Daphnia pulex: one gene and its partner. Each later gene encodes a partner of the first gene's protein in a complex. Links are inferred from orthologs where the notes say so. Each region holds a gene or a part of one and is shown in the gene's direction. Other genes may lie near its edges. The genes, in order: AT-rich interactive domain-containing protein 2-like and protein polybromo-1-like.

Evidence for each region.
Region 2: AT-rich interactive domain-containing protein 2-like (region 1) and protein polybromo-1-like share a complex: the UniProt entries of both Homo sapiens proteins name them as parts of the SWI/SNF-B (PBAF) chromatin remodeling complex. The link is inferred for Daphnia pulex from reciprocal best matches to the Homo sapiens genes ARID2 and PBRM1.

The regions. Positions count from the first base shown.
Region 1 is NC_060025.1:6,746,609-6,750,865, reverse strand, and holds the start of AT-rich interactive domain-containing protein 2-like, read left to right. Parts: upstream 1-1,304; 5' UTR 1,305-1,444; intron 1,445-1,507; 5' UTR 1,508-1,529; coding exon 1,530-1,621; intron 1,622-1,762; coding exon 1,763-1,856; intron 1,857-2,016; coding exon 2,017-2,114; intron 2,115-2,185; coding exon 2,186-2,346; intron 2,347-2,404; coding exon 2,405-2,623; intron 2,624-2,698; coding exon 2,699-3,777; intron 3,778-3,846; coding exon 3,847-4,005; intron 4,006-4,069; coding exon 4,070-4,243; intron 4,244-4,257. Other genes in the region: zinc finger protein 593 homolog, read right to left, coding at 1-27, 85-182, 255-333, 418-428. UniProt on the Homo sapiens protein: Involved in transcriptional activation and repression of select genes by chromatin remodeling (alteration of DNA-nucleosome topology). Required for the stability of the SWI/SNF chromatin remodeling complex SWI/SNF-B (PBAF).
Region 2 is NC_060022.1:3,968,765-3,972,589, reverse strand, and holds part of protein polybromo-1-like, read left to right. Parts: intron 1-556; exon of another isoform or gene 557-699; coding exon of another isoform or gene 700-928; intron 929-1,030; coding exon of another isoform or gene 1,031-1,096; intron 1,097-1,160; coding exon of another isoform or gene 1,161-1,996; exon of another isoform or gene 1,997-2,295; intron 2,296-2,391; exon of another isoform or gene 2,392-2,638; 5' UTR 2,639-2,673; coding exon 2,674-3,569; intron 3,570-3,631; coding exon 3,632-3,747; intron 3,748-3,812; coding exon 3,813-3,825. Other genes in the region: short-chain dehydrogenase/reductase family 42E member 1-like, read left to right, coding at 700-928, 1,031-1,096, 1,161-1,996. UniProt on the Homo sapiens protein: Involved in transcriptional activation and repression of select genes by chromatin remodeling (alteration of DNA-nucleosome topology). Required for the stability of the SWI/SNF chromatin remodeling complex SWI/SNF-B (PBAF).

The DNA.
Region 1 (4,257 bases):
AGGGAATGCTCGTCAATGAAATATCTTCTGTAGATTGAATAGAATTATATTACAATAATTTAGTGTTTGGATGAAATGACTTACGCGCAGTGTATGCAGTAGTACTGTGCGTTACCAGCTTTCTCAACATCAATTTTCTGAGCAAGAAGGCTTTCAGAATTGTGTTTCAAATCATTATCAATCTGAAAATATACATTATCACAATGAAACTTAAAAGTCAAAATATAATACATTAAATATTAACTATTATATACCTCATCCAGATCTTTAGTACGTCTTTTTCCTTTGTATTTTTTGCGGATGTGTGTTTCTCCACGATGATACTTTTTACGCCTAAAATTGTTTAAATTTTCCTTTAACTTTTATTAAACATTCATTAAAACATTACAATGCGTAATCAATAAATGTATTTTTTACTTGTAAGTCATTGCAGGAAGCTTTACGTCTTTCTACTGTGTAGTACAGGCAGATTCTCTTGCTCACTTGCTCTACAGTCTACAGCTCTACACGTGTGTAGCAAAATGGCTGCAAATTGTATTTAGAGGACTCGACTGTCAGGCACGAGATGGCGTTATATTGACGGTCACCGATACGACAACTAGATGGCGTGTAGGCTTGCATTTTTTTTTTTTTTAAATTAATCACGTAGGCATGTATTTTTTAATCAAAAATAAATAAGCGAACGATTAATCCAACCACAGAGACGTCAAATAATCGAGCACGATCTGATGAAGAAGTTGTGTCAACTCTCTCTGTTTGCCACGGTTTGCCAAAGCTTCGAAAAAACCGTGCGCTTGGTTCCGATAGGTGGCGTTGGGTCTGAAGATAGCTTTAGACAAATTTAATGCTTTGCCTGCCTGCTTACAAAGGAAAGGAAAGAAAATCGGCACGGGACTTGTGACGCGCGGTACGGTGCGCCCACAACAACTGGAACACTCTTGCTGGACTAGCCCGCTCGTGACAGAAAGTTTGCTTCCCATTGATCGGGATCTTCTTACCTGCTGTGTGGTCAAGAAACAAGTGACAAAATATTTGCAGTTAAAGTGTAGTCTGAGAACTTTTCGCCGCCATTTTGCCCTGGCATCCCCAGTGAACATAGTATTCTGCTGCACATACAACAACCAAGCCCCAATACTCTGTGACTCTTGTTCCATCCAAGTGGAATTGGAAAAGCCACTGTGTTGTGTCCACTTGCCAAGTGATTGATCTATTTCCTTGTGAATTCGTCCTTGCTCATAATGGAAGATTACGCCGTGATCCATAGCTGCCCTAGTGTTTCGAACACAAACCGATGCTAAGAAAATCGCGCCCTTGGCATCTCCCCACTCACGGCCCCTCTCACACACGTGCCGATGACAACTCAGTGATCCTCGCGCCTTTTCCTCCTTGCTTTCTGTTTTGTTTTGTTTTGGCGCCCATCGATTTGTTGGTCATTGTCCTCTCGGTACCGTTTAAGAATGCTTTGACGAATGCTTAGAGGATTGTCAACTGAACCCTAACCGTTTAGGTGTGGTGGGCCGGTAACAATAATGGCTGAACATCTCGGCAAAGACGCCAAAACGTATGCCGATGAATATTCGTCTTTTTGCCGGGAACTAAAATCCTTTCATGACATCAGAGGGTAAATAACATGCTTTGCAATTACAAGGACTTGATGATGAGTGTACTCTTCTTGCTTAGTGTGACACAAAGAAAAATTTGATTATAATGCCTATTTTGAGGATTATTTTAACATTTTTGAATTCTGTGTTTTTTTTTTAAGGACGAGTTTCAACAAACTTCCACGTCTCCACGGTCATGAAGTTGATTTATATCTTCTCTACTCACTCGTCACTTCGCACGGCGGATGGGAAAAGGTATTGGTTTCATTATATTGTCAACTTTTGAAAGGCTAAATGCATGACCTCCTTCCAGTATAAACAACTCTATGGTTGCTAGATTAAAATTTTTCAGTTTCAATTCGATATAGGTTTTTATTCTAATATAATTTTGTTTGTTTAAATGTCAAATGATTAGGTGAACGTACACGGCGAATGGGAATCTCTGCTTCCCTACTTTGGCATTCACCGGTTATGCGCCAATGGACCAATTGCTTTGAAGCAAATTTATATAAGGTATATTTCATGATAACAGTCTAAGCATGGCAAATATCAACAGATAAATAATAACCGTTGTTTACGAACAGATACCTGGATGTTTACGAGAGGATACACTTTTTGGGCGAAGAAGTTGATCGACGCGAGTCTGAACATCACGAAGAGGATGACGCCCGCAACCGACGTAAAGCCCTTCGACTTCTTCATGCCACTCCGACGTCTTATAATGCTGCGCAGCACGTTATCCCAGGTTTGACAACTGCTTTACACAATCGATTGCAGTGCATTCAATAACTTTTATTTTGTAGATCACGTGCGAAACACAGCTGGGTTGTCGACTGATGGGATACAGGTTACACCGACTGAGCGAGTGTTCCTCTCCCTTCTATGTCCTCTACCCAACGAGCAAGACTTCGCCATCAATGTTTGCAGTCTTCTTGCAATGGAAAGCCGAAGACCGTTTCCCCTCCATCAGTGTCCCCGCATCGTCGATGCTCTACTAGCACACGCTGGAATCTTTTCGCAAGGTACACCTTACAGAAGTTGCTGTTTTAAGTATACTTTTCTAATTCTATCCCACCTTTCTGGGCTTTGTCTTACAGTTGACATCCGAGATCTATTCACGGATAGTTACCGAAAATTTCGTGGGCAGAACCTCGGCCGATTTTGGCGTGATGTTGTCCCGGATGCTGACATTGTACAATTGTCTGAAGAAGATTTAGTGGTCACACCAGACGATGTTACAGCTGTAGTGGGCCCGTATTGGGATCACCGATCTGTTCATACAGCGTCGAGTGCTATTGGAGAGGCTGATTCATCAAGGACTCTACCGTCAGATCTTCTTCCAGAAGAAAATGGCAGTACATCTGCAACAAACAAAGTGCATCTGGTCGTACGCCCATTAGGTAGTGAGAGACCCATCAGATCAGTGACCTTAAATTCCAGAGGGGACGAACTTGAATCAACATTGATTGAAGAAGGATCAACATTAATTGAGGAAGAGTCTCAGTGTAGTGTCATGTTATACGAAAATGGAACGGGTCCATTGTCAGCCTCAGGATCTGATGTGGTTTCGGCTACTAGTCCGCCAAACGTGGAAAGAGTGCCCAGTTGTGAGCCAAACTTCAAAAATTGTTTGGCAAAATCAGCCAATAGCCCCATAGAACCTGCCAGCGACGTTGCAGTTCCTGGATATTTACAAAATGATGAGAATCTTGTTGCCTCCTTTGCCCAAGACGATTTTGCTGTCGAACCATCTCGGAGTATTCAGCCGACCGACGAAGATTTCGTTTGTGAGGATATTTCTGCTGCTGCTGCGCAGGAATCTTCTCAAGATGCTGAATCGCACACCAAACCAGATTTATCACATGACGGCATCGCTCCACCAATTACCGAGTCCAACGCCGCTTTCGAGTTGGAAACACCTTCACAAGCGGAGACCAATGTGGAGAGGAAAGTCGTTGCTCCCAAAAACAAATTGCCAGTTGCCATTCAAAAACCAGATAATCCACGTGCCATCCGCTATTGGCTGGATCAACGCAGAGCTGCTCGATGTCCCGTCGAACAGCCTCCAATTAAACAGGACGATCCTGTGCTACAATTAGAACCAGAGGAGTTGGATCTATTTCATGTTGGTCGGGATCAAGGTGTTCACGATGCTCTCGGTCAAAGAGTTTTACAGGTTAGAATTTTCTATTTACCTTTGGAAAGTTGCAAATTAAACCTGTTATTCTCGTGTCTTTCATTCAAGGTTCTTAATGTCATTCGCAATTTGAGTTTTGATGATGTCAATTCGGCTGTATTAGCTCAAAGCGAAGCTTGTATGCGACTTCTTCTTTTGGCTGCTCATGCCAGGTGGTCTTGTCTACCACAGTTGGCCTTCGATGCCATATCAAATGTCGCATTAGAGGTAAAGGAGTTTTGTGCTCAAAGTGGAATTTGCGGTTAGATAGCTGACGGCCATTTCTTTGCAGGTCAATTTAAAGGATCCCGCAGATTGTTCGCTGTCGGCCATTCTTTTGGGGACGGTCACACGAGGATTGGAGTCAAACGACCGTTTTATTGTACTCCGTTGTATGGAAACTTTAGGTCGTTTGGCCCAACGCAGTGAAAATGAGCTGCTTTTGATGTCGTCTCTTGATTCTCACGTAGGTTGACTTCG
Region 2 (3,825 bases), on another chromosome or scaffold:
GATTTCAGGGAGGAAAGTAGGGTAATCAGACTTTTTAAAACATCCATCGTGTACTTAGTGAAACATAAATAATAACGCTAGAGAGGTAAAAAATGTACTCAAAAAGTCTCGAAGAGTTCCTGTAGCAGCTAGCAAACTGCGTAGATCGAGAAATTTTTATTTCGTAATTTTCTACTTCAATGCCAAAAAACTATTTTCAAGTTTTCGAAAGGTATTTTACGTATCGTATCTCCCTATTAGGTTGTTTGAATATTTATCGCTCAGACCTTTCCAGTTTTCGACAGAGGCCAGAAAAACGAGAAAGTAAAAACTTTCCGGATTGGATTGATCCCCATGAACTTAAAAAGTAGCAAAAGTTGACTCCGTATAAAAGTAAAAACTTGATTTTTTCACCGTAAATCTGATTGAAATACGTTAACCACAGGTAAAGACCACGGTGGTCTTTATCTGTGATGTCAACTCTCTCTGTCATGATCATGGTCACGAACATGTCACGAATCACGATGGTAGATATTGTGATATTGAATTGAATGGACTTGACAACGGCGTTAGGAATGAACATATATATTAGCAGACGATCGAAACCCAAATAGATAAGCACTTATGTATTCATCAATACTTGTGGCCTACTTTAACTTTGATAATTTGTCTGTTGTCTCATCACGAGATCATTACTAGCTAAACAGGTATCATTAAAGTATGGACGGTCAACCTGCTTACAAGTTTCTCATAACGGGTGGCGGCGGTTACATTGGTTTCCACATAGGCTTACGACTTCTTCAGCTTCAACATGAAGTCATTCTTTTTGACGTTAATTATCCTGCCAAAAAATGGGATCCAAACATTGAACATTCAGTCTCACACAACACAGATGGAATGAAAAGCGAAGAAATCTCTTGTTCCCATGGAACAATGAAATTCATCAATGGTAATTTACTCTCTCTAAAATGGTTGCTCTCCAGTCTCATTCATTTTTCAAAATGTACCGTAGAATGTTATATTTATAAAATCATTTAATATGTATTCAAAGGAGATGTAAGGGACATTGATAGATTATTGGAAGCAACCCAAAATGTAACATGTGTTATACATACTGGTAAGAAAATTTTTCATATTTTTTTTTCTCCATTTACTTAAACTTATTTTTGAATTATGCACAGCTTCATATGGAATGTCTGGTCGGGAACAAATGCCACCCTACTTTGACAAAGTAGAAGAGGTTAACATAGTCGGAACACGTAACGTCATCAAAGCATGCGCCGAGAACAATTGCAAAGGCCTGGTGTATACAAGCACATACAATGTTGTCTTCGGTGGAGATGCAATACTCAACGGGGATGAAAGTCTGCCTTATTTCCCGTTACATCGTCACGTTGATCATTACTCTCGCACAAAATCAATTGCCGAACAACTAGTCCTTACCAGCAACGGACGCGGAGATCTACACACATGTGCACTTAGACTAGCTGGTGTTATTGGGCTAGGCGAGTCAAGACACTTGCCACGTGTGCTTGGTGCTATCCGTAAGGGCATGGTACGATTTAATTACTACGACGAACATGGTGGAAAGGTCGATTTTATTGGGTTAGAAAATGTAGTTCAAGGACATGTAAAAGCTGCATTAAAATTAGCAGATATCAATCGCAATATTCCTGGAATAGGCGGCCAAGCGTTCTTTCTATCTGATGGATGTCCTGTCAACAACTTGGAATATTTCAAACCATTAATGGAACATTACGGACAGCCGTTTCCCACTACCCGAATACCTATGTGGTTGATGTACATTCTTGTTTTTTTCGTGCATTTTGTTTACAGTGCTATTTATCGATTCATCGACTTTACTCCTTTTCTCACTCCCGCCGAATTGTTCAAGACAGGTGTTACCCACTATTTTTCTATAGACAAGGCTCGCAAACAGCTGGATTATCATCCCGTGAGACCCAATGACTTATCCGAAATTATTACTGATTTGCGAGAACCGCATCGATCTTCGTGATTTCAGTTCTTGACTAAATTTGCGTTATAGTAGAGTTTTATAGGGAATTTTTACGGGTTAATTTTCTGCTATCCAAATAGTTATAATATTTGCAATGCCAATTCACATTATAAAAGGGTTTCCTAAATTGCATTATTATTATATAACATGTAATACAGAAGCTGGGTTGGAGAAATCAAAGTTTAAATAGGGTCCAAATTATTCTGTGATCTTTTTTTTCTTATTACTTTAACATCAATGCCTCCTTTCCTTCCTATTTTGGCTGTTTGGGTTATTGGGTAAATATAATATAAAATTTGTTACTTTGCGATTATTTGCATACACGTACTATATAAAAAAATGTTATTATTTTTTAAATTTTTCTGTAAAAAAACCATTATAAAAAAGAAACAGTGCATCATCAAATCCCGTTTAGTAAAGAATACTTTTGGCGGGATTTCAAAAAATCGATACGAAAAATTCACTTTTTACACTTGGCAACGCTTACGCACACTATACAATAACGCCAATAGCGTCCACAAAAAGGGTATTTAGTTATTTACATATAGGCGTTTCGTTTTCATTTTTTAACGATCCTTTAACCCTCGTGACAGTCCCTATTATATCTCACGTTTGTAAAGATTGTGCATTTTTGTTTCGCAGTTTTCTGTGAAGTCGACAGTTTCGTTCCGGAAGAAATGGCGGAGAATTCAAGAAAACGCCGCCGGCTCGACCCTATCGAAATTTGCCAGCAAGCTTACGACGTGATTCGAAACTTCAAAAAAGAAGACGGAGCTCTGTTATGTGATGCTTTGATTAGAGCCCCAAAGAGAAGACAAGAGCCTGCCTATTACGATGTTGTGTCAAACCCAATTGATTTGTTAAGAATTCAGCAAAAGATCAGGACAGATGAGTATGAAGATCTGGACCAAATGACTGTGGATATTGAGCGGTTGGTTAAGAATGCCAAGAAGTTTTATCCAGAACATTCAACGGAATACCAAGATGCTTGCACTTTATGGGATTTGTATAAAAAAACAGCTGATAAAATCAATGAAAGTGAAAGAGTTGATGAAGTACCTGAGGTAAAGCCAGTAAAAGAAAGAATCGTTGTCAAGTTGGGACGACCCCCCAAGAAGCCTGTCAATGTCTCTCCTATTGAATCAGAAGATGCAGAGTCTGAAGAATCGAGGGATAATTTTTCTTCGTCTTCTTCCCAGCATTTAATTGATGAAGATAACATGTACGAAGAACTTTTTGCAGCGGTTATGAATGCCACTTCATCAGATGGAAGATTACTTCACTCAGTCTTTCAGCTACTGCCATCAAGAAGACTTTATCCTGACTACTACCAAGTTATAGAAAATCCTATTGACTTAAAACAGATAGCCACAAAAATTCAAGCCAATGAATATTCTAATCTCAATGAAATGGAAAAAGATTTGAATCTTCTAACAAAAAATGCATGCAGTTATAACGAACCTGGTTCCCAAATTTATAAAGATGCCAAATTACTGAGAAAAACGGTATCTTCTCGAAAAGCCGAAATTGAACATTCTCGTCACACTGGAGGCAAAATTAGCGAAAGAATTAGGTATGAAGCTAATATACTCCATTTAATTTTCTCTATTAATAAATATATTTTTTTGGTTATAGAAGTAAGCGTGCCAGAGCAACTCAGTCATTATCAGCAATTACTGCTGCCCTTCAATATGACGACTCTAACGACGAAATGGGTGAAGCATCTAAATCATCCGACTTATCTTTTAAAGGTAGCACTGTCCTTATTCTCGTATTTGAAAAGATTAACAATTAATGAATTTGAATATCAATTTAGATGAAATCGACGA